Oreochromis niloticus: one gene and its partner. Each later gene encodes a partner of the first gene's protein in a complex. Links are inferred from orthologs where the notes say so. Each region holds a gene or a part of one and is shown on either strand. Other genes may lie near its edges. The genes, in order: dffb and dffa.

What was found.
Region 2: the proteins of dffb (region 1) and dffa are in contact, whole or in part, in an NMR structure (PDB 1F2R), measured with the Mus musculus proteins. The link is inferred for Oreochromis niloticus from reciprocal best matches to the Homo sapiens genes DFFB and DFFA. Residues at the interface, in NP_031885.3 of Mus musculus: Cys10, Lys12, Arg14, Ala19, Cys20, Lys21, Phe22, Gly23, Val24, Ala25, Ala26, Arg39; in NP_001020467.1 of Mus musculus: Asp66, Thr68, Ile69, Val70, Asp71, Asp72, Asp74, Tyr75, Trp94, Tyr96, Asp100.

What each region holds. Positions count from the first base shown.
Region 1 is NC_031984.2:26,361,797-26,374,414, forward strand, and holds dffb (DNA fragmentation factor subunit beta), read right to left. Parts: upstream 6,228-12,618; 5' UTR 6,117-6,227; coding exon 6,003-6,116; intron 5,352-6,002; coding exon 5,225-5,351; intron 5,107-5,224; coding exon 4,921-5,106; intron 4,096-4,920; coding exon 4,016-4,095; intron 3,916-4,015; coding exon 3,742-3,915; intron 3,402-3,741; coding exon 3,301-3,401; intron 3,200-3,300; coding exon 2,950-3,199; 3' UTR 1,857-2,949; downstream 1-1,856. Other genes in the region: lg20h1orf174 (UPF0688 protein C1orf174 homolog), read left to right, coding at 1-192, 895-1,035; nphp4 (nephrocystin-4), read left to right, coding at 7,230-7,409, 7,928-8,065. UniProt on the Homo sapiens protein: Nuclease that induces DNA fragmentation and chromatin condensation during apoptosis. Degrades naked DNA and induces apoptotic morphology.
Region 2 is NC_031984.2:22,471,821-22,484,351, reverse strand, and holds the start of dffa (DNA fragmentation factor subunit alpha), read right to left. Parts: upstream 5,176-12,531; 5' UTR 5,047-5,175; coding exon 4,956-5,046; intron 3,717-4,955; coding exon 3,558-3,716; intron 3,452-3,557; coding exon 3,297-3,451; intron 3,096-3,296; coding exon 2,891-3,095; intron 268-2,890; coding exon 140-267; intron 1-139. Other genes in the region: peroxisomal membrane protein PEX14, read left to right, coding at 7,029-7,064, 9,424-9,474. UniProt on the Homo sapiens protein: Inhibitor of the caspase-activated DNase (DFF40).

The DNA of each region.
Region 1 (12,618 bases):
GGACAGGAAGGTAAAGAGAACGCGCTGATGATGGGACAGGATTCAGACAGCTGCGTAATGAATAGCATCTGGGACAAATATGAGCCTGAGCATATGGATTATGAAGAAACAGGCAAAATCATGTTCCCAGATGATGACAGTAATCAGATCCTTCCTGTGGAGCAGTTCTTTGGAAACTTGGATGCTGTACAGGTGAGGCACGTTGGTTTTAATTCCTGGGGGAAACAGGTTTTTGTTTTTTTGGTAAAGAAAACTTCTGACTGATGATCAGTTTAGAAGAATCAGCATCCATATCTATTATTCTAATCTATTCATTTAAAGCTGCTCTTCTAGGGTGTTTTGTAATAGACATGGGAGTTGGAAGATATGTTAGACTTGTTATACATTTGGACCTTAAAATTGGTTTAAATTTCAGCAGTAATTGGTGCATTATTGGATGTACCAAAAGGGTCTTCCTGCTAATAAAACACAAAACATGGGCAATAATGTGCAGAGTAGAAGACCACGAGTTGTTACACAAAAGCCTCACTCTGCCAGGAGTCCCTAACGTATCATTTTAAGTTTGCCTTGAGGCCTTGAGGTTTGGATTCTTTCTCTCAAATAAATATGATTTGCAGTTTTTTTTCCTTCTCTTTTTCTGGTCTCACTCAGTTAACATTAAACAAACTGACATTTCAACCTCTTATCAGCAGGGCTAGAGTTATATGAGAGCAGTAACAACCCCTAGTTAGCTTTGTTACTCACTGATAACTTTAATTTTATCCATACACATAGATTCTATCCCCCCATTCCCACCACATCTCTAGGCCCATCATTCCTGCAGTTATATCTTCAGCACAATTTGTGAAAATAATGTTGCATTAAATGAATTCTAAATATGGATTCATCCTACAGGATTTTCCTGAAAGATCATCCACGTCTTCTAGCCGCGCCCAAAGGAAGAACAGGAGGCGACATTACTATGCTCGAGAGGACAGCGATGAAGACGAGGTGGATTTCAGTGGCGTGCAGCGAGACAACGGGGTGGGCACTTAGGCTACATTCACACTGCAGGCGAAAGCGCATCAAATCCGATTTTTTTTTTACCCTATGTGACCCATATCTGATCATGGTATGACAGTTTGAACGGCACAAATCCGATATTTTCAAATCCGATCTAGGTCACTTTCGTGTGTGGTACTGAATCCGATACATATCCGATGTTTTAGAAAGCGACTGCTGTTTGAACGGTCATGTCGCATTAAATCCGTCTTTTACGTCACTGACACAAGACAGACGCCAATTATCAGCGCCGGAGAAGCGCCCGAGAAGACATCGCGAACGCTTCCTGGCCATCCAGTGTAGATGTCAGTGAAACTGTTGGGAAGACAACGTGAACATTTTATTTGTACTGTATAATCTGCAGATTCTGACAGAAATCTGCAACTATCCTTTGAAGCACCGCTCCTCTCAGCAATAAGGATCATTATTAGGTTATTTACATTATTATGTAAATAACAAAATAACTTAAAGCAAAAATTTGAAAACGTAAAGTCCGAAGTCAAACAATATTGTTTGCTCTGGGTCTAAACAGAGCGCGTTGTGTGTGACGTCTTTTTTTGCGCATGTGGGCCGCTTCGAGCGTTCACACTAGAGCGCGTTTGCTGTCGCATTTATTTGTAGTGTGAACAAGCAGACAAAAAAATCGGATTTGATCAAAAAATCGGAATTGAGCATTAACACCTGCAGTGTGAACGTAGCCTTAGTTAGGAGTTGCCGCTCTTATAACTGAGAAAGTTCTGCTTATGAAAAGACATTAAACCTCTCAGCACTTGGAAAACTACCTGCTCAAACATTGCATTCAATCAATAATTAGATTTTTAAAAAGTCATAACTGCAATAATAAAATTAAAATGGCCAATGTGAGTAAATGCAGTAATGTTTTGTGAAATTTTTGCTGAATGTATGCTCACATAACACCTGGTGTAGCCATAACTGGTGTAACCATCACCCGTGTTTACAGCACATTGTGTAGAAAATTGAATCCTGAGTGCAGCTTCAGATTAGCCTCTGAGATGCTAAAAAAATGCTGGATTTAAGGTTTTGTTTTCCCATACAAATGAAAACTGATTAATTGTAAATGTTACATGCTGACAAGAGCAACAGAGTGACAATTTCAGTCTAAGTTAAGATTACACGTCTGTAACGAGGAGGGATGGAGCATGAACTTCTGTACTGAGAGTTTTAATAGCACAAATTCATTGCTTAAGCTGAACATCATCAACAGTTTTCTGCATAAAAGTCATTATTCACCAAGTGTCTCTTCATCCTCAACTCATGTGTGCTCACGTTTCTGGCAGCTTTCAAATATATAACACATTTGTATCGATACATAATCAATGTAATGAATTAATTTTCCCTGAGAGGGTTCTTCTAAAATTTGTAAAAGAGTGTTGTTTAAAAAAAACAAAAGGTTCCTCATACAAGACTGCAGTCTGAAAGACTGGATAATTTAAACCTGAGTGAAAATGTAATCTAACCAAGAGGCTAACCGTAATTGCACTAGATGTTGTCGCCTGTATTTTGTACATGACTGTTCTAAACCGTCCAAATATTTTATATATTTACTGCCTTATTTATATCAATTTGCTTTTCACATTCTATGCAGCATTCAGAGTAAATACATGATTTGTTATCATCTTTGTACTTAATTTGTGTACTTTACATCACAGTGCCAATACAGTGAACAAATAAATGAATTTCATGGTTTCTTAAGTGTGGTCGATCACTTCCATTATGAAATTAAAGCTAACCATGGTGGGTTTGGAGCTCAAGCTGATGTCACGAGTCACGTCGAGAAGATTGCAAAGGCAAATTTACCTTTCCAGCTGATGTGATGGGTTCTTTTCAGAGTTAATTATTTACCAAGTTCATCAAACAAATCACAGTCCACTCATTTGTCACAGGACATCAAGTCATGCGCCTTTTCTTTACTTTGGGCTTCTGCTTTGCTTTTAGATCCTTGGTGGCATTATTATAGATCTTCTTGGTGTCACACTGCAGGTTGTGAGATCCTTTTTTGTGGCAGACGATGTGGACCAGCTTCAGGTTTTCCCTCGTGAACAGGAGTTGGTAGAAGTAGTTGAGGTTGATGTCAGTGCTCCTGTGATTTTGCAGAGCTTCCAGCAGAGCGGGAATAACTGTCCTCTTCTTTTCAATCCTGGAAACAAATTGAAGAATTGCATGAAAGGAGGTAAAGCAAAAAAAAAAAAAAAAAAAAACTCCAAAAAATCTTGTAAATAAACTAAAGGTGGCGTGAACCTGTGGTCCAAATTCCAAGTGCTGAAGACAATCCTGCCCTCGCGGCTTCCATAGGGGTTGATAGAGTGAAGAGATTTGCACACTTTCTCATCAAATGATCCCTGAGGACGCAATTTAGAGGAAGAGGAACTTAGTCTGAAGCACATCTGGACTTTTAATATTTTTGAGACATTTTAAATGTAATGACTGTTAAGCCTAGTTAAACACTACTTTTGATCATTTTTGCTCTGATGCTCACACCACAGTGCACTTTTGTCTCTGACTCTTCTGTTCACATACAACTAACCTCGGACGAGTCAGTTGGAGCAGATCCCAGCTACTCTGTACAGATTCAAGAGTCTTTCCCTCAGAGCTCAAAAGCCTGTGACAGTGTAAAACTCATGTTGCCCATTCAACTCTGTTAGACCTCTTAATACCTCACAGCTTGCATTCTTGTAGTACCTGGCAGGTGAACCATCCCTCCTGAGTACAAAGGCGATCTGGTTGCTTTTCAGTCCTGTCAAAGTAGCAGCCATTGTACTTGGCTGTTTTCAGCATTTCTGTGAGGCTCTGTGAGGTTTTCAAAAACTCTGCCCTCACTTTTGCTTTCTGTATGGATTTGGTGGCATCATCCAGCTGACAAAAACAACAAAAAACACAACTGTTAGAACAGCTGACTGTGGATTAATCCTGTAAAGACCTCAGGTGCAGAGTGTTACCTGACTCCCAAGTTTACCTCTTTCAAGTAGCCGCGTATCCTGCTTTCACAGTTGTACTTCATGTAGGCAGACTTTGTTTTAAATCGAGAATCAACACCTGAAGAGAAACACACATAACAAGATGCTCAACAGATTCATTTAGACTCACATCAAGAGAAACATCTGTGACAAAAGTTATATTTTCCAAATATAAGGGTGTTGAGTCTTCACAATGCTTTTATACTGGAAAAAGACACAAGAGTGACTTAATCTATTCATGGTTTCCCAGTTCTCTAGTAACAGTAGCACATGTCTTATAGTGCTTTTTTTAAAGGGATTTCTTTACATTGACACAGTATTTGTAATACTGCCTGTGTACAGCACCATAATGGATTTTAAAATCAATCAAAATGTGATTAAAGTGCAAATTTTCAGCTTTATTTCAAGGGGTTTGAGCAAAGTGTTGCATTAACTGTTTGGGAATTCAAGTCCTTTTTATACATAAGCCCCATTTTCACAGGCTCAAAAGTTTGTTTTTTATCTATCTATTTATTTATTAATTATTATAATTTATATTATTATTCACAGTACATGTGAAGAAGTAGCAAAGTCCAGCAGAGAGCAGTAGGGCGGGGCAGCCTCCACCCTTCATGACCCGCTTAGGTCAAGGCTCAGCAAGACTGTTAAATCCCTTAAATTAAAGCTGAAAGTCGGCACTCCAATCACATCTTGATTGTTTGCTTTAAAATCCACTGTGGTGGAACACAGAGACAAATTCACGAAACACTGTCACTGTCAAAATTCCTACAGGCCTAACTGTACTTCTTTGAGCCTCGTGCAGACAGGCTGGGAGTTTGACCTCAAAAGAAGCCACGACAGGAAAAGTCACAGGAACTCTAAAACAAAACCAGGAGCGCTTCTCCAAGAGGATGAAGGCTGCTACCTTGGAACCAGCCTTCATCCTCCTCTCTGCTCTCCAGCTCCGACCTATCCTCCAGGTTCTGTAGCAGGTCTGTCAGGATTTTACGCCTCTTTGAAGATTTCTCATCAGAGAGGAGCCCCTTCGCTGCTTCAATGAGGCTGTCGGCATGCCGGTCTGTGTCGAGTAGCTGACTGATGTCGCACACAACTAAAAATCAGATGCATAAAGATTAGGCAACATCACAATCATCCAGCAGTTTAGCTGACTGGGAGAATAAAACCACAAGTTTACAGTTGAAACACTTGTCTGGTGTTGATCCTCCTACCTCCACTCCACGTCTGCCCTTTAGATAGAAGAACCAATTCGGTGTTATCCGCCAAAGTTGGGAAGAATTCCTCCGTCACTATTGTCCCGTCCTCATACAAGCAAACACGTGCACCAGAGAGTGGCACCTGGACTCGTGGAGAACATAACAGGTAAAAACACCAATGACAAATGTGTTGTGTGGACTAGAAGTGGAAGCTTTTTAGACCAGATAACTAATCTGTAAACTTGACATATTTTATAAGAGAGCCATCTGTGAGAGTCAGTTCAGATTAAATGGATTCATTTATCCGATGTAAACTCTAATTAAACAAAATCCCTGTAGTACAGATTTCCACCAACAGATCATTTCCTCTTTGTTTCAGCTAGTTTATACAAAATGTGCCCGAGGCCATACTCAATAATGAACGAATTCTGCTCCCAGCCTATCATAAACAGAATTTAATCTAAATGCAATCAAAAAGCATCTTGAAATATGAACGTAGAGGCTACATGTCACTTTGACCTGAACGTGACATAACTGTTGCTTTTTCACTTACATCCTGTTTACCGAGTTCTCTAAAAATGATGCGAAAATTATTTTATGTCGTAACTTCTTCACAGTGGAGATGATCTTGGACCAAACCAATCACGTATCGAGTTACTACTAATTAGGAAAAATAAAAGCGTAATTTCTTTTGTTTACTAGCAGCAATGACGTTTATGTCACATTCTCTCAGATAAAAAAGCGGAACAGCAGTGTAAGGTGTTAAAAACTAACTAATTCCCACAAGGCTCACCTGTAGCAAATTGCAGGCCTTCTTCAGTAGTTCCTTCACATCTTTTGCGGCAATTCCATATTTCCTGTTTTCACTGCAGCTCCTAACTTTTACAGGTTTAATTTTCCCGAACATTTTGCTGTTTTGTTTTCGGTTTGTACCTACCGCTTCCTTCTTCTTCCTCCTCTTGAGGCTCGGAGCAGCAGCGGAAGTGTGTGACTGCCGCCTATTGGTGCTTTTCCTTATTTTCTTTGCTAATGTGGCGTGATTGGTGGTGGAAGTAACTTATATTTTTTTACATTACAATAATATCTTCATGGGGAAAACATTCCGCTTGTAGTAGACACACTGAATATCAAGTACACGTTGTGAATATTAGTGATTACAATAATAATGCAATTCAAATGGCTTTATTAGCGTTACTGTTTATATAGGCTATGCAACACTTGACAACAAGCCACACATCTGTCTTTATCCCTGTTGAAATCTTCTTTGGATTCCCACAGTTCTGTTTTTGTCTTCCTCTTTCAAACTGCCAGCTTTTTATCACTGGGCCAGACATTCTCTTTTCTTTTCGGTGCATAATTTGTTTTTCTGTCTTTTGTTTTTAGACAGCAGTGTTTTGTGAGAATGGGCAGCATGTGTCCTTCTGGGGGAACTGAGTCTAAGCACCCCCCAAAATTAGCTCCTTATGTATTCGCCTTATTAGCTTAAGACTACAGCCAAAGCTCCTCCTACAAATTATACTCTACTAATATATAAAAGATAATTATTACATGTGTATATTTAAAAAGAAAATAAAATTTATATTGCGAGTGTGGCAATAAAATAACTTTAAATTGGAGATGCTGACGTTCATACAAGACCTAAATGGAAAGATGAGTATTACCATAGCAACTGACGCAGCACGATGGGAAATACCAACTGAAAGGTATGAACGATTAGAGGCGGCCAATGCGAAATTTTCTGTAGATTTTAAATTTCGGGAATAAAATGTAGACTTGCGTTAGAAAATACAATTCGTTTACTAAGTATATTTTCAAATAATGTTTCTCATTCGTGAACGCTCCTGATGAAATATTTTATTACATATCCCCCCCTTTGTACTAAATGGTAGAATCTGATTTCAATATGGCGGCCATCTGAACGGATGGAGAAGACTGAATTCAGAGTAAAACATTGGCTGCGTTCAACATTTCTGAGTTTTTTTGTGCAATGTCAGGGTAATGCTTATTTTAACTAAAGGACATGGTAAAAATAGAAGACATACCCAGCATGGCGGACGAATGGAAGCAAGTGTTTGAGAGGAACCGGGTGGTTCCCCCGCAGAGCCAGACCGTAAGGCTGGCTGTGGAAAGCCGCTTCACCCAGTCCCACGGCTTCCAGCTCACCCTCAACCGTGTCACTGCAACTCACCTCCCACCACAGGTGACCGTTTACAGTTAGCTTTCAGTGCTGATTAAAAACATAGAAACAACTCTGCTATAGCAATTCACTAGAGGTTTAGCAAACCTAAATTCAGTGTATTTTAATCTGTGAGCTTGACTTTGCGTTGACTGTCAAAATAAAAGACACGATAAGGCCTATTCAGTATCCATCTCTGTGAAAGTGCGCCTGAAGAAATCTCGCGAAGCTTTGAAAAATGTTATATTTGAAGGCAACCATACATTTTTTTTAATCAAACACACAATCAGTGTCATGGGATTATTAGTAAATTCGGTCTATATATAGAGCATCAAACAGTACCAAAGTGAATCTGACATCCACTACTTGCTGGCATTATCAGTTACAGGGATGCAAAACTGAGCATTCAGATATTGGGAACCTCATTCTGGGGTGTTTTTTACATGAAGTTGGATAATAGTCATAAAGGAGGATTTAAGTTTAACTCTTCACTTGTTAACAGTGACTTTCCTAAGATGCATGTGCTTCCTTTTTGCTCATAGGAGAAGGCAGTGGGAGAACAAAGTGTGACTTACCAACTACGGGCAACGCTGTTTGACAGAAATCATCAGCACTTTTTTGGGAAAACATGGAAGAGCTCACCTCAGACAATAAAAAACAACAAGATAACTTTCAATGAGGTAACTCTTCTCTAACAGACATCCCACTGAAACAAGTTTACTCCAAACAGCACACAGCTGTTCCATATATATAGGCTCTTTTAAAAACCCCTCTCATGTTATTTTGGCAAACAGCGAGTAGATGATTATGTAGTAAAATCAATGTGTATTCATGCATAAATTCCATTCATTTAGGGCAACCGTTATTTAATTAAAAGCAACTCAAAAGCTTTACCAATTAGCCGTGTTTAAATTAGCAGCATTGATTTCCCTGAGTTCTGCTATGCTCTTGAGGATCCTGTCAGCTAAAGCACAGCAAATTACAAACTGAAGTGATTGCCAATAAGTGATTCCAGTTGCATTTGATGACTTCGACTCTGTTTTCTCACCCTGCAAGTTGAAGAAGAGCTAATTTCATTGTGAGGTAAAAACTTACTATTAGAGAGAACTTTGAGACAAAGTTTCATTGAAAATATCATGATTGTATTACAGATGTGTGCCACTTTATGGCAGTGATCAGTTAGTCCTGGAAACTGTAATAACTCAAAAACATGTCATTCATTATAGAAAAACCACATATTATGTCCAGTATTGCTAGAAAGACCTTTTACTCATTCATTTACTAGTCTTTACTTGTCTGACAGTGGTAATTGTATATAATGTGGTGAAGTGTAATAAATAGCTTATTACTTGATGTTGCCTAATCTTTATGTGGGGTATTTTTTATTTCAAAAATACCCCACACTAGCCCACACTAGCACTTTGGATAGTGTGCCCAGGTTAAAGTTGTGTGGAGTAATATACAGTGTGAAGTTGTTTAGCTTAATGAACTAAGACAAACCGCACAGCTCATCCAGCAGCGCCAAAGCCAATTGGAGGATCAGACAGATGCATATCTCAGAAGTATGTGATCGCCTCTCCCCATATCAGTGAGACTGAAGTTTGCCTGCTGAAATTAATGTGTTATGGTGCCAAAAATAGTAGTGCAACATCATCATGTTTCTCAATACTTTGTATTACTTTGAGTGTCAGGTTCAGACAGAATGACCTCTGTGCAAAGTGAGGGAATTTTCAGCCGCAAGCAAATGTGTTTGAGCTAGTTTCATCTAGAAACGAATGACATGAGAGCTTTGCCCTTTCTGGGCCATTAGGTGAAGTCCAAACAGGCTGAAATAAGTGTGAGTGACCGCATGAGACCGACAGCGGCAGGGCAAAAAAAGAAAGATGTCCATTTGTAACTGTTCAGCAGTCCTGCTAAGCACCAGCTGGGGGGTTTTGAGTAAGCCATTGCCCTTGGAGATGCTGTGATTTGCTTTCTATGATTGTGTGACAACCAATCATAAAAAAAAGAAAAAAAAAAGCTGGCAGTGTAACATTGTGGAGACTTTGGTGTGTTGTGCTACTTTGGCTCAGCCTTCTCTGCTTCACACTCTCTCTGAACAGATGTGATTGAAAAATCAATCAACTCTTTTCACTCAAGACTGTGTACTAGCTACAGAAAACTTAACATCTAATAGTGCACATAGCAGGGTACCTCATTTAATGTGCTTGCAGTTGCAACTCATTAGTTATCTGCCCATGCACACAAGTGAACAAGAACAAACGTTTCTGCTACCTTGCTGTAACTGTCATCATGGATTTAACTTGTGCAATCAACAAGTTCAGCAGTCCTGCTAAGAAATCAGCATGAGGTTGTTTGCAATTGATACACAAAACCTGCAAAAGACCCAGTGAACTATAAAATGGGCCAAGTAACTTGTGGGGAGTCTTTGGCCATGGTAGCATTTCTGCCTGGACTGAATTACAGTACAGCACACTGGAAGCCAGCTTCCCAACCAAAACACTCTTTTTTTGTTTACTGGGTGTTTAGTGTTACTCTACTGTGTTGTGCTAGTGAGATATTGAATCTCAGAAGATACCAGAGGCTTGTAGTACAAAGCAGGATTTTGTCTTATCCAGATAACTTCTTAATTAACCCTGAGTTTGCCTCCTGACCCTTCAATTCTCTGGAAAATAGCGACACCATTGTTGGATGAGCCTTTGCCCACTGTGCCCACATAGTAGGATGGGATAAAGTTTTTTTTAAATAAAATCTCATATCTATGAATTTCCCCCAGTAAGAATTAGTAATAACTTCAGATTCTAGACTTTCACATTTATTCAGTCTTTTTTCTTCCTGTTGGCTTCAATTGATTTCACAAAAATCGTATTCTATAAGCATAACTATATAACCCTAAAACAGAGCACCTTTGTATTTGTGGTTCTTGTATCAAATTTCCTACATGTTTTTTATTTTTATTCTTTAGTTGGTCTCAAACTCTTAAACACCACTGAGACTGCAGCTGAAAGAATAAAAGCTAAAACCTGTCTTTTAAAAATTAATTGAATTAAGTACTCAATTATATTCCATCAGATTCTCCTGTGGCCTAATGATAGAGCTGTGATACTGATAAATCTGTTAAATTATACAATCAGTATTTTTGCCAGCTCTCTTCCCAGGCTTCAAATACGGTAGACTTTATTACTATAATAGATCTTGTCCAGTCTTATTGACTGCAAAGCACTTAAAGCGCTCACGTGTTTATATAGGACTTTTAGTATTAAACTGTTGTATAGTGCTGTCCCTCTCTCTCTCTCTCTCTCTTTCTCTCTCAGACACACACACACTCTGCTGCTTTTTCTGTAGCAGATGTGTTGCTTTCAGTCTGCATTGTCTGTTTAACAGTCAGCTGATCTGCTGCCAGTACACTTAGCCATGCTTGTAATTGGTTAGCCAGTTGGTCTCCTGCACGGGAAACCCTGGGTTAACTTAGTGAGCTGACAACCCAGTGAGGGCTTATTCTGATTGGCGAAGTTAAAGTCAGTCAATCCGGAAAACAGAGTTGCAGAGGGGTGCAACATAACTAAGATCGCCCTTTGGGACAGCTACAAGTACTTATGTAATGCTTGGTGTGATTTAGCACATGTATTAATTTTTTTTTTTTATTGACTTGGGATTGCAGTTGTATGCAGTTTCAGTCAAAGGTCAGATTTGTTGCGCTTTAGTCTTTACGATTCATTTTCTTTTTTCCCCAAACATGGTTTCAGTCTGTTCAGAGTCTTTGAGTCTTTTCTTCTCTGTAATCAAGGGGAACAAAAACGGGGAACAAAAAAGTATTTTTGATGTCAAGCTGCATGGTGTAAAGATCTGCTTTGATGATGAAATTTTCAATTTCTTATTGAAAATACCGAAGGGAATGTCGTGACAGAGAAAGACTTGAGATACAAAAGATAAAATATACCACACTGATATTGAAGTGCACTGCAACTTGGATGATCTTTATCCGTTGGGTGGGTTTCCTACAAGAGAAATATACCAGGTCAAATCTTGATTGAGTGGCTGATGTCTGGAGTTAGTCCCCTAGGCCCTTCATGGTTTCTGCACGCTGCTCCAAATACTTAAGACAGAGACCAATTTTCATATGTGGATCAATGAAAGAATCCATATATTCAAATGGAAAGATCTTCTTTTCACCCAGGAACCCACCAGCGACTTTCCTGTACTGTGAGTAAATTCATGATGGCAACAAGTAGCTTTTTGTGCATCACCAGAGCTTTTTTGGTTAGGTGTGAGGATACTTTGCCAGTGAAGCTCCAACCGATGTTTTAACATCTAATGCCCCTACCATGCAGTTTACTAAAGGTTCACTTTATATCAGTGCTGGCAGCGTTGGAATTTTCCTTGTAATGTCAAGCCTCCTTTCTACTTTCAAACCAGAAGTAAGATCAGAGCTGAATCTGATAAATCCCCTCGATTTAAAAACAGTATTTTATTTCAAATGTAACTGTGCCGTCAATCCACACATCTACCCACCCACCTGCTTAAATCGCTTTTTTAATGTAAGTGTGCATGCGGTGAAAAAGTTCAAGCTTTTATATTTCAGCCATTACTGAGATTTAAAAAGAGACGTCTTGTTAAATCACGACGTGCTGTTAGATTTGCTTGTAGATTAATCCGCCAGTCAGCCATCTCATCTTAACAGCTACTTTAACACTGGATGTTAAATGATTTACAACTGAAGTGGCTGTAATGTGTCTTTTATGTATTACATGAATACATTATTTTAGTTTGCAAAGACTGCTACATGCGGTGATTGTGACTGGATGCCATATTGAAATTCCACATTGCATGTTGCATTTTCATTTTAATTTATGCAAGTTTGCATTGTACCCCAAAATGGTGAGCTTCTGGTCCTGGCAAGCAGGGAGTTAGTTCTAAGAAGGTGCTTCAAAAGGACTGACAGCAAAGGGGATACACAGTATTTTGCAACTGTTTTAGCCACTTTTTTTTTCAATCCAAAGCTGCTATTGGTGAGGTGTCCCACAAATGAGACAGATGAGATGGCACATGACCCCAAAGTACTGCCAGAGCCATGCAGCAGATGGTATGACCCCTACAGAGCCCTGATGTCGTTACAAGAAAGTGCCATCTAAATCCAGAGATCTCTGGCAGCTTCTACAAGCTGCTGTAGAAGCACTGCTAAACCGCTAAATTTTGGAAACAGGAATTATGTACCTCCCTCTAAATTAGAGAA
Region 2 (12,531 bases), about 3.9 Mb from region 1:
TTCTCAGAAAGAATGGATTCTGTGCGACATTTACAATACCCACAGATAAACGTAAAAGTATTCGTAAAAGTACATTTGGGGTGTTTTTATTTGCTGATGCTTTGAGGCAGGCTTAATGAGAGTTGTGTGAGTAGGCTACCTGCAGATCTCCAGTGGAAAGCCTGGTCTCTGGCGATGTTTTGCCTTTCAGGACCATCAAAGTCCTGGACATAAATCCAGAAGCAGAGTCCACCTCCATTCCATCCGGCACGTCCACATCCCCAGCACCTGAGATATTGAAACGGGTTTCAACACATTTCAAAACATTTTAAACATAGTAAATCATTACTTCAGGTGGGGTTATTAAACAACAACAACAGGTCCACCTAGTGACCAAAAGATAGAAGTGCAGCTCTTCCCTCATGAGAAATTAAGAGAATGAACCGATAACAAATAAACTAAGACAGAAAAATAACACATGTTGACTAATAACATCTGCGGTTGTTTGAACCTCACCTAGAAATAAAAATACATATTTTAAGTTTAGTTTATTTATTTTGCTGCCCTTCTGTGTTTGAATGTGTGTTAATGTTAGATTGAAACAGGTATCAAAATAAAAAAGCTGCTTGTATGAATGGGTGAATGAGGCATGTTGTATAAAGCGCTTTGAGTGCTTAGGCAGAGTACAAAAGTGCTACATAAGAACCAGTCAATTTATGTCTCTTGTTCTTAAATATAGAGAAAGTTTATGTATGATTAACTTTTCACATTTATTGTTTTCTCAAATTTCCTGATTTGACCACCCCTCCTCGCTGGCTAAAGTTAAGTCAGTGATGTCTTTGACCCTCATCTAAAGAACTACATCTGGGGCCATTACTTATCTTGAGGGCTTCATAGTCATGGGACTATATTGATTATTTTGCTGGGTGTATTCATGCATATTGAGCACAGCTATTGATTACATATTTGTTACGCAGAGGGAACTGTATAAGCACCCTTTTCAAATAAATTTTTTTTTTTTGTTAAGCCACATAATAACACTGACCTATTCAGTCATAAAAACGTACCTCACTCAAGGGATGAATCTTGAGTTATGCATGTTATGTCTACACATAACAGACATCTTAGATGAGCATCAATTTTAAATTGTATCTTTGGACACTTTGTTACCACAGCCTGTCTCAAAAACACATACTGTATTTCCTTTTATGCTTGCACATTTCAATAAATTGTTGTTCCTTTTTCCATTTTCATAGTAAAATATGAATGACGTGCTGGTCAGTCACAGGAGCACGTTCAGTGAGAAAGTGAGATTACCAAAAAGCACCACTGAACGACACAGGAAATCATTACTGCCCGTGTCCATCTCCCTGTACAACTCCTCCATCTAACACACTGTAAACACTGCAATAGTTACACCCTTTTGCACACGCTCTACAGTAAAATAGCAAATGACAAAGTTCACAGGTTAGAGGGAAATACCAATCATATATATTTCACCTCTGTAATATTTTTGATATTTATAATTGAATGATTTGTATTTGTTAGTGCTATTTCTTAGATTTGTTAACTTTGGAACATATTGTATTATTTAATTAGTTTAGTCTGTTACTGTTACTGTCTTGGATCAAATGTAACCCACATAATTTTCTTAGGGATTATTAAAGTATTCTGATTCTTTCCAGACACTATTACATGGTGGATCAAAGTCTAACTTTTGTGCGTTCATATTTCTATCATTTTTGACAAGATCCTCAACCCCATGGGCTAAAATGCAGCACCAAATCATGACAGAGCTTCCAGTGTGTTTTACAGACGGCTGCAGACACTCGGTTTTGTACCCCTCTCCTGACCTCCTCTGTGGACACTGATGACAATATAAACCAAAAATCTCAAATTCACTCTCCAGTTCTTGAATAATTTGGCGTACCTCACCCATTTCTCCCAATTTCCCTTCCATAAGAATGGCTTCTTGACTGCCACCCTTCCACTGAGACCATGTCTGATGAGGCTTCTGTGAACAGTAGATGGAACAACTGATGCACCTCAGAAGCATCTCTGTGTGTGTGTCAGCTCTCTGCTTTGTTCTTCTATTTCTTCATGACATGACTTACATTGACTGTTCATCTGCTGTAGATACTTTGCCACTTCTTTTGTCCTCCAACTGTCCAGTTTACTCAAATGTTTTAAGAACACACTGCACACCATGCTAAGAAAAGCCAAAGGTTTGGCATGTTTTTGGCAGTCACCATGTTGGCACATTTTTACCTTTGGCATTTTCATTGATTCAACTAAAAAAATGGAAACAAATTATGTGTTTTTGCCTCACACTGCTAGTAACAAAGTGCCCAAAGATTCAATTTAACATTGGTACTTTGCTATGCTGTCTGTTATGTGTAGACAAAACGCTGGCTCATCCCTCGAGTTAGGCGCCTTTTAAAGCTTGTTTCATAGGTCAGTGTTAAGTGGCTTAACAAACCTCTCAGTGGAATACCTTCCCTAAAAAAGGTCAGGTACAAGGACTGCACTGAAAATGAGTACAAAAAACAGCCAATGCACAAAGCAAAATGTCAAAAAAGCTGAAGCGCAAGGCTTCAGCCTTGGAAAAACTGTTGCTCAAGGCTACCTAGAAGAATTACAAAAAAGTCAGGCTCACTGGAAGCAAAATATAAAGAAATAAAGGGTGGCTCCAGACTTTTGCACAGTACTGTAGTTCACAGAGTTTCTGTATCCCAGCTTGAATAATGACACAGAAACAGCTTTCTATGCAAGACTTAACTTGTTACAGAGTTTATATTGTGTATCCGTGTCACACTACAATAATCAGGGAATCTGATTTTCATATATTTATCTCAACAAACTATTTCCATACAGTAAACATGGCAACCACCTTAAAATGACACAGCCGTACCTCCCTGAGAAGGCTGACTTGTTTCTTCCTGTTGTCTGTTCTCCTGCTCCACAGTTTTCAGGTAAAGCTGGAGCAATTCTTTGGATTGCCTCTCTTGCTCTCTTCGATCTAAAACCCTCTGCAGCGTCTCCTGGAGCTCCTGGGCCTTTTTCTCTTGGAAGCCCAGAGCAGAGGCTAGTTCAGGGCATGGGGCATCCACTAAGGTCTGAAAAAGCAAAGTAAAACAATAAAATACAATTTGCGGCTCCTATTTTTAGATTGATTAACACACTTAAACACAGACAACAGCACATGTCGACAGCAAAAAGAACATCCCATTAGCCCGACCTATTATTTATGTGATTAAAAATAGTGACAAAGAAAGAGTGTTTATCACTTTCTTATACTTGACATATAATGTTGGTACCTGTAGGTCCGCCTCAGACATGAGAATAATGCTAGTCAGGTCCTGCTTCAGCTGCTGAGCCAGTTCATACCAAGGTGCTACAGTACTGGAGCTGTCCACAGTATCAGTCTCCAGCAACACAGAATCCCTAGCCATCCAAGCTGTGCCACCATCAACTAAAAGTAAATATCAAATTAACAGAAGGTGATGCATTCCCAGGATATAAATGATTGATGATAAAAAGGATGCAGAAAAATGTCAGACAAAAGTAAACCTGCTTACTCCTGCAAGGTGGAGACCACGTCTCTTTGTCATTCAGTAGCATGAATTTTGTGTTTGAGGGTAAACACAAAAAGTAAGCCTGATCTTCTACTACTGTCCCATCATTCTCTAGGACCACTGTGACTGAGTCACTGGAGTTGAACCCAAGACACTGTCGACCTGTTAAAAGAACAGAGAAACTACAAATATTATAGAGTGTCCCAGATTATTTTTATACTTCAAAGTGTTTATCCATCCATCCGATTCAATATCCCAGCTGACTGTTGTGGAAAGATGCGCCGCAAGTCCAGTTTAGCATAACAAATTAACCTCACATGCGTGTCTTTGGACTGTGGCGGGGGAACCAGCAAATCCAACACAGATCTTTCTCTCTGTGAGGCGACAGTGCCGCCCATATTTCAGAGGAAAACAATCAGTATTAGTGTATCCCATAAGTCAAATATTCAAAGCAGTAATACCTCAGACACCACCTGTTCATCAGGTGATTCAGCATACTTCCACATGTCAAACAAGTCAGTCCATTTAAAGAGTCAACAGCCCTTTCTTTAGAGCTGCTCCTATTTGCAATACAAAACATGTCTTACTTCCACTGGCTTTTAAAATTGTACATGTTTTCTAACAGCTATAAATCAGCACCTCTAGTTTAATAGTGCCCCAGCTCAATATTTCATATACGAGTATTTATTTATGTATATTGAATAGGAATAAAGGCAATTGATAACTTTAAGCTAGCTTCAAAACCAAGAGGGGGGTTTTCAGATAGCACCCTAGTTTTGTCACTGGCAGTTACAGGAGACTTTATCAGAATCAGAAACACACTTCTAGTATCTTCATGTAGGCGGCTTCAAAATCAAGGACCCAGCCTTGTCTCCTCCAAGCTCTGCTGACACATATAACAATCAAAGATGTAGAAACACTTTTATTAAACAGAGAAAAATGCAAAAAAAAATCTGGGGGCAACGCCTGGTGACTAGCCTTCTAGGAATGAGCAGGAAGAGCAATGACTTTTCATGTTTAGCTTCTGCAAGTTTAAACACGATGGATAAAAATGGAGATGCTGCTTCTGCTGCTGCTACCACACACAACTAGATAAGTAAGCTTATCGACAGCAATAGCAATAATCACCTCAGCTGTAATGTTGGTGCCTCCCAACACTCTCAAAAATCACTGAACATATGAAGTTCTTTCACTTTCGCAATAAGAGAACCCCGCTTTTAGCGCTCAGCACCAGTGCAAACTAAAATGACATTTAAATACAGCACCCACAACCTTTGACTGCGTGAGACGGTACTTCACGTCACTGTCACACACCCGTTCAATATTAATGAATATATAGCTTTCATTAAAGAGAAGCTCTAGCATGATAAAGTTCAGGAATGTAAAGTCATGACAACTTACCTTTTTCCTTAAGCTCATCTATGGAAGGAGCTACTACCCCATACGATTTTTGTCGTGTGAAATTACACACCTTACACGGTTTATCCGTCATTCTCGTCTGCGTTTAGAGAAGCAGATTTTGTGCTTTCTTTTACCTTAATACTGACAATTACCGACAGCAACTACCACCACTATCCTCGAATACGGAACTGCCGCCGCGCCGCTATGGAATCTGGGATATGTAGTTTAGCACATACAAAAAAACAATTCGAACAGGAAAACGCGGGAGAAAGAACTGCGTTTGTGTTTACAGTTTGAATATAACGCTATAACCTCTATAGCGCTAATTTGAGTGTATTTTTAAAAAAAAAAAAATCTTGTATTAACTATTTCCAAGCTCTAGGCATAAGAAATATGAGAATAATAGCATGTCCTTCAGAGGAGCTCCTGTTTTAAAGGTGGACTACCGCAAGTGACCGCTAGATGGCGACCAAAAAGTCTGGCCTGACAGTGGAGTCCAGTTCTTTCTTTCTTTTTTTTCTTTCTTAAAGACATTTGGTTGGTTAATTGCGTGGTGAAAATAAATAGCTAGGGAGCAGGTGGAAGAGAGCCTGGAGAGGTGGAGGTATGGTCTGGAGACAAGGGGAATGAAAGTCAGTAGAATCAAGACAGAATGTGTGTTTGTGTAACAGTGAAACCACCAAGAGTACAGATACTGAAAAGGGGGTGGGTTTAAATAGTTTAAATACCTAGGTTCAGCCATCCAAATCAGAGAGTGCAGGCAGAGTGGAGCGGGTGGAGATGATTATCAGGGGTGATTTGTAACAGTTGGATAGCAACAGCGGTGAAAGTAAAGGTTTATAAAATGGCACTGAGACCTGTATGCTTTGGAGACTGTGGCACTGACACACACACACACACACACACAAAGGAGGCGGAGCTGAAGGTAGCAAAATTGAAGATGTTAAGATTTTCATTAGGAGTGACCAGAAATTAAAAATCAGAAACTAGAAGTTAGAAATGAGTACATGATAGGGACAGCTCAAGTTGAGCAGTTTGAAGACAAAGTTAGAGAGGCAAGGCTGAGATGGTTTGAACATTGTGCAAACGAGAGGAAGTGGATATACTGGACTAAGGATGTTGAATGTGGAGCTGCCAGGCAAGAGGAAAAGAAGAGAATCGGAGAGGAGGTTCTTGGATGTAGTGAAAGAGGACATGCAGAGGGTTGTGTGACAGAAATGATGCTAAGGATGGGATGAAATGGAGGCAGATGATCTCCTGTGGCAACCCCTAAAGAGAGAAAAAGAAGACTGCATTATATGGTCCAAAAATGCACCACTTACATCACAATGTCACCTGAAACAATCCCTTTTAATGCTGTAAGTCTAGCATTTTGGGGTCTGACTTTTAGGGGGTTGCTGTAGCAAATGACTTTATAGTTTTATTTATTTGTTTTTCTTATTTATGAAATAGAGTAAATAAGTAGTATCTTCTTGCTGTGAATTCATTAAGTATTGTGATTTCTGAAGGGGCCCCGGGCAAAGCCATATTAAGCTATTATCTGGTGGCTGAATGCAAATCCGTTTCAACAAGTAGGGACTTACCACACCTCGTGACTAAGCTGTTGGCTTTGTTGTATAGATTTTTTTTCTTGTTCTTTAGGCGCAAGGGTGGGTTCAGCTGAGGAAATGATGAAGCTGACATTAAGTCTAAAGGTAGAATAGGCTCTACTATGACAAAAACAAAACAAACAGACAAAACAAATAAAAACAATTTACAAAAAATAAGTTTTCTTGGCAGTGAAAGAAAGACAGTCATCAACATTGACCACGCAGAAGTCTTAGTCTAAGATCTACTGAAGGTGTGTGAGCATGAGAATGTGCTATGAGGAAGCTGAAACCGAACTTGATGTGCTTTTATATTGTAGCGTTTCAATAACAGACAGTAAGAATGGGGAGTGAAACTTTGGAGTGAGACTCATCCTGCAGTGTCCCGTACTCCCCTGCAGGAGGCAGCAGTGCATCTTAAAGCATGTTGCGTGGTAGAAATATACCAGAATAAGAAGTGTGGCAGAAGGAACAGAAGAAGAAGAAGATGGCATCCAACGACCAAGCTGAGGCAACAACACAGGTCTCTATATGCATTAAAAGCGGTTTCTTTTTAATGTCTATTTGCGGTAGTGAACTGTTTTAGATATTTCGGGGCTTTAGATGTCTTAACGTTGGCATCACGTGCCTGGAAATGCTCACAAAGTTAGAGATTAGCATGCCTACTAGTTAGCATGCTAGCTAGGTTACGAGTCAAAAGTTGTCACTGAGACATGAGTGTGTTTACAAGTGGGCAGGAAGGGGCGTCATTTAGAGTTGCCATATTGTGTCGAAAATAATAGGGCATAGTTACTAGATTTGCCATTGTCATCAAACGATTCAGCTGTACAATTGCATCTGAGCGTGTAGCCTCGTCTTACTGTGTGCAGATAACTGTAGGTGCAACTCAAAGGTCAGTGTAGGCAAACAAACCTGATGGTTTCTGTTGGGTTGCAGTCACAGTGTTGGCTTTGAACTCACCAGCCCCCCGAAAACAAATGTCACCGAAGGTTTTTATTCATGTATGTCACCCGTGACTTCTGTACTTTTTGTTGCTACAGCTGAGATGCTGTTTTCAGAAAAAAAGATGTTTATATATGCTGTAGAGAAATATAAAAGTTTTTTTTATGTACATAGTTGAGAGCTAACGGCTTTAAGTGTATAGAAAGTGTTTACCAAATGCAGAAACTAATAAAGTCAAGGAACACTGTAATCAAGGAACTTGTGTGGATTGACAGTATTTACAAGTACTTGTAAAGTTATCACTCAGTTTATGAGCAACAGATTTCTACAAATCTACAAATGAATGCTGGCATGTGCCAGTTCAGTACTTTTTTTCTTTTTTGAAAATGCCATTCACGTAGCAGACAGGTCAAATTTCTCAGTGTGGGCAAATTATTTCTGGAAGTAAAAGAATCTGTTAAGCTATAACTATAGTCTAGTTATGTAAGTTGGTAGGCTTTCAAATATATTCTAAAATATTTATCTGACTCCACTTGAATTTGCTGGTTTCATGTTTGGACGTTACTTTTTATATAAGTAGCAATGACACTTTTAATAAAAGTTTCAACGTGACATAAGGCTGGAAGCATTTTCACATTACAGGCATGGGCCTGTTCAAGTCTACAATAGTTTTTCTGTTTCCCCTTCATCTGTGTGAGTTGCTTAGTTACAATAAACACTTTAAATACATTTTTATTGTTTTTAAAATTCTCTAAACAGTAACTGTAGCGTAGGAGTTAGAGCAGCTCATCTACTAATTGTAGGCATACAGACTGTTGCTCAAGTGTGCTTGCCAAAGTATCCTTAAGCAATTTCCTAACCCAAGTTGCTTTCTAATGTGTTCATCAGAATGTGTGTGAATGTTCCATAGAAAGTGCTAAGGCCTAGAAAAAAGTGTTTGTATGAATGGGCAAATGAAGTGCTTTGAGTGCTCAAATGGAAAAGCACTATATAAGAACCAGTCCATTTATATCATTAATGTTTTCTTTCCCAATCTTGTGGAAATGACAAATAGCCTTTTTTTATTTATTTATTTATTTTCCTGCCCATAGAACAAAATCTGTCCATATTTTACTACAAGCACTGCTCCATAAACGTCACAGTGAAATGGATACCCTTCCACAATCAACTTATTTGTGTTGTGAATTTTCCCTTCTTCACAATTTCTACAGTTTCCCATCTGTTACTGTACATAGGGAAATGTTTATGGAGTACAGCATGAAGCTAAACTCTTCACCATGATGAGAACAGGTTAAAAAACTTCTGAGTTATGACTGTAGTTAACTTTTGACAGAAGCTAACAGGAAGTTAGGTAGGTAGTTAGTTTGATGCTTGCAGCTGTTTCTAGAACTCTGTCTTCTGAGTTTATTACGTACCTGCAGAATCATACAGCAGCACAATGCATTCAAAAGCTTTTCAAATGCACGAGAGTTGCTCACATTTATGCACCCGACACCACAGAAGTAACTTCAGTCACAGTAAATTATCCCCAAAATTCAGGCAGTTTTGATCAGGATCTAGCAGCAGATAATATTGTGTTCTGTACTTCACACAGGCTCTGACAGGGTTCAGTCTGTATCTAACGGGGATCCTAATAAATGAAACTATTTTTAAGTGTAAGAGTTGCCTGATCAGTTTGCAAAAATTTGCCAAAATGCGAAAGAGTGCTGAAGCACTTTGCATAAATGTTGTTGATATGCCTGAAAGAAGCCGTGAGGCCTATTATTGTAAAAGTGTCCCATACCTGAATAACCGAATACTATCACTTTAATAGATAGAGCCAGCAACGTTACATACCGTGTGCTTGTAAAGGGCGACCATAGTTACCAAGCTTCAAACTGACATTACTTCTGTTTTCCACTAGATGGCACTCTAATACAAATGTTTGTTTATGTTCCCAGCCTGGCCTTCTGCCTGGAAAAGATGGAGCACGTAGCCCCAGAGAAGAACTGGTAAGAATTTATTCCTTAGTCTGAATTACATGAATTATTGGTAAGGAAACATTGACTGTAACCACAAAAACATTAAATGAAGCTAATGTAAGTAATGTAAGTGAGAGCTGGAAAGAAATAGCAGCTTGGATCAAACGATGCAAATATTAAATTACATTTCCTGTAAAGAAAACAAAAAGCAATGAATAGGGTATCATAATGGCTGGAAATAATATTTCAGATATTCTCACATGGCACACGCTGTGATTCTTAATACTAGTGCTCAGAAGTGTGGATTTTTCAAAAACTCAAGTATTAGTGCGATTTTGAAAGAATGAAAATCTTCTAATTTCTTGGCTTGATCTGGTGATGCATAGTTGAGGAAGATTATGATGGTTTTTCTCTCCCCCCCCCTAAGATCTGATAATTTAAAGACTTTTATTTGGCTGTATTACACATTCCCCAGGGAGATCCAGTATTAAAGGCTTCCAATTAGCAGACAGTCACTTTATACATCACAATGATGTCCCCAAGCTGTAATGAGAGTATACTTTATGTTCTTGGTCTTTAGAGAGGAAAATGGTCTATTTTAACAGCAGCAATGGGTTCCACAGTTTCTTTAATCATGCATAGCATAAAACTTTGACTGCACATCTTTGTTGTTCTTTGTTTATCCTTCTTTTTTTGTAGTCTGTGTCAGAATTGGGTCAGGAAAGTCGCTAATTTGGAGTTTCTTCGCCATGTAGTCTCCTATGCAAACACAAAGGGCACTTGAAGGTGTTGGTCCCTCAAAAAGGTGTTATAAGGTGGTGTTTAACAAGAATAAATGTCAGTTTTTCTCTTCAGTAATGTGCAGAGTGTTTATAAGGCATGCTTGGCCCAAGCGATGACTATAACCAGGAATGTTTGGTAATTGCTAAGTGGGATGGAATCCATCCCAGGTACACTCACTGTCCTTGTATAGGCACAGCATGCAGGTTATAGAAGTGCTGTATTGTTCAGCCTACATGTCTCAATGTCATTCACCACCATTCACTCTTCATCTTCCCCCCATCATCCCTTCATGCCAAGGCTAATTTAATCCTGGGGTTATTGATTGTGGGAGCATTCTCCCAGGCTTTCTTTCAATTTACTTCAATTTCATCATCCCAGTGCGCTTCAAGACTGTCTCCTCAAAAAAGGGAAGAAATTCTTGTTATGAGGGATTCGAGACCGGTTGACAAGTCCCACCACCACCCTCACTTCCAACCCCTTTTCTCCTTTCTCTTTTTGATGAGCTGCTCTTTCCCAGTTAAGTGGATTATTACAGTAGGGATAATTCTTGTCACATGGCATTATTTGGATGAGGTGAATAATTGAAATTTGTGTCTGAAAGGATTTTATCTGGATGAGAGGAAAGGGAGTGCTGGCAGGGTTGGAAGGGCAGGAAAGAAGGAAAAGCAGTCTCTCTCTCTCTCTCCCTCTCACTCACACACACACACACACACACACACACACACACACATTTGCATAACATCTATGTGCACATGTGCATGTCAGACTGGGGACACCAGTCATGTTAACAGGTTCTGACTCACCTCGCCCAGATCAGCAGGCCCTGGCACACTGCACGGCATGGACCCTCCTCAGTGGCAGGAGGGTCCAGCTCAGGGGCCGGTGCCACAGCCTCTGCCACTATACCAGGCCAGACAGGGATATCTGGACCTGCAGGTTAGAGCGAGAAGAAGGCGTGGGAGAGCCTGCGTGAGTGTGTGTTTCATGGTTGACTGGTATACCAGTCGCTGCCAGTCGCTGCTATTGCCTCTGGCACTGCTGTTTGCTCACTCTAACCCCGACCGCCTCTGTCTCAAATCCCCACCCCACCTCCTCCCACCTTCCACTCATCCCTGCCATGACCATTACCCCAGCCAGTCTATTACTAGTCTTTCCCCAGTCTCTGTGCTCTCTCTCCCTGTAGTGACACCCTGCGCTTACCCCTCATCTTCTTCAGACACTGTCTCTGACTGCCTTTAAAATCACCCAAACACATGACGATGCTATTAATGAGCAAAAATTCCACTGACCAAATGAGAATACTGAAAGAAATTGGCGAATATATTGGCGTAATATAGATATTTTGACAGGTTAACCAGATCTATTGGAATAAAATTAAAATTTACTTCCCCAAAATAAGATGCATTATAGTTTTTATGCATTTATATTTTAAAATGTTTACATTTCTTTTCTCCTGTTAGAAACTATATGATATGAAAGAACAGTTTGGCTTTGTACTTGTGTACTTTAAAGGTATATTTTTATTTTAAGTTTTTAATTATTTTCCTGAATAATAAAGTTAAAGTTGTATATTTCTTGTTAGAATTCTTGCTCCTTAATTTCCTTTGAACCGATTAACTCGGAACTCTTTGGAAATACACTCACTACCTCGGATCACAAACTAAAGGGTCACGTGTCATCGCTAAATGCAATTCTTACAGATTTAGGTTACCGTTTACCCCGTTCTTTACTCTTTGCACTGAAAAAAAAACAAACCTCAGTTTAAGAAGTGCATATTTGTTTGTGGGTATGAAAGCGTGTGGTTTTTTTGTTTGCAGTAGGTGCTTCTGTACCTTTTGCACATGTAGACACAGATAGTGTGAACTGGGCGTGTTTTATGTGTTTAGGTTTGGGGATTTTAGTACAGCAGAGGGAGGGGAAAAAGAACGGTAAGAAGAACAAACCCCCGGTCTCACAGCAACTTCAAAAGCTCTCCTTCCCCAGGATATTAAGCGACTGTGATGAAAAATTTAGCAAGCGTTAAATAAGCCGCTTTGAAGTGATCTGTTTTGGCTCAGCAGTCTCCAAATTTCCGTAGCCCCTCTGCAATAGCCATCTCGCTACAGAGAGGGAATAAAAGGAACAGTGTGTTAAGTGCAGAAGTTGTGGGGGACCTGGCTGGTTGGCAGAGGACCTGCCAACAGTAATTGGTGTGGCCAAAGACATGAAGGAACCACTGCTGCCGCTGTCCCCTTTTGTTGTTCTCTGGATCGTTCTCTCCTTATTTCACCTCTCCCTTCCCTGATGGGTCTTTTGCTGAGTCCC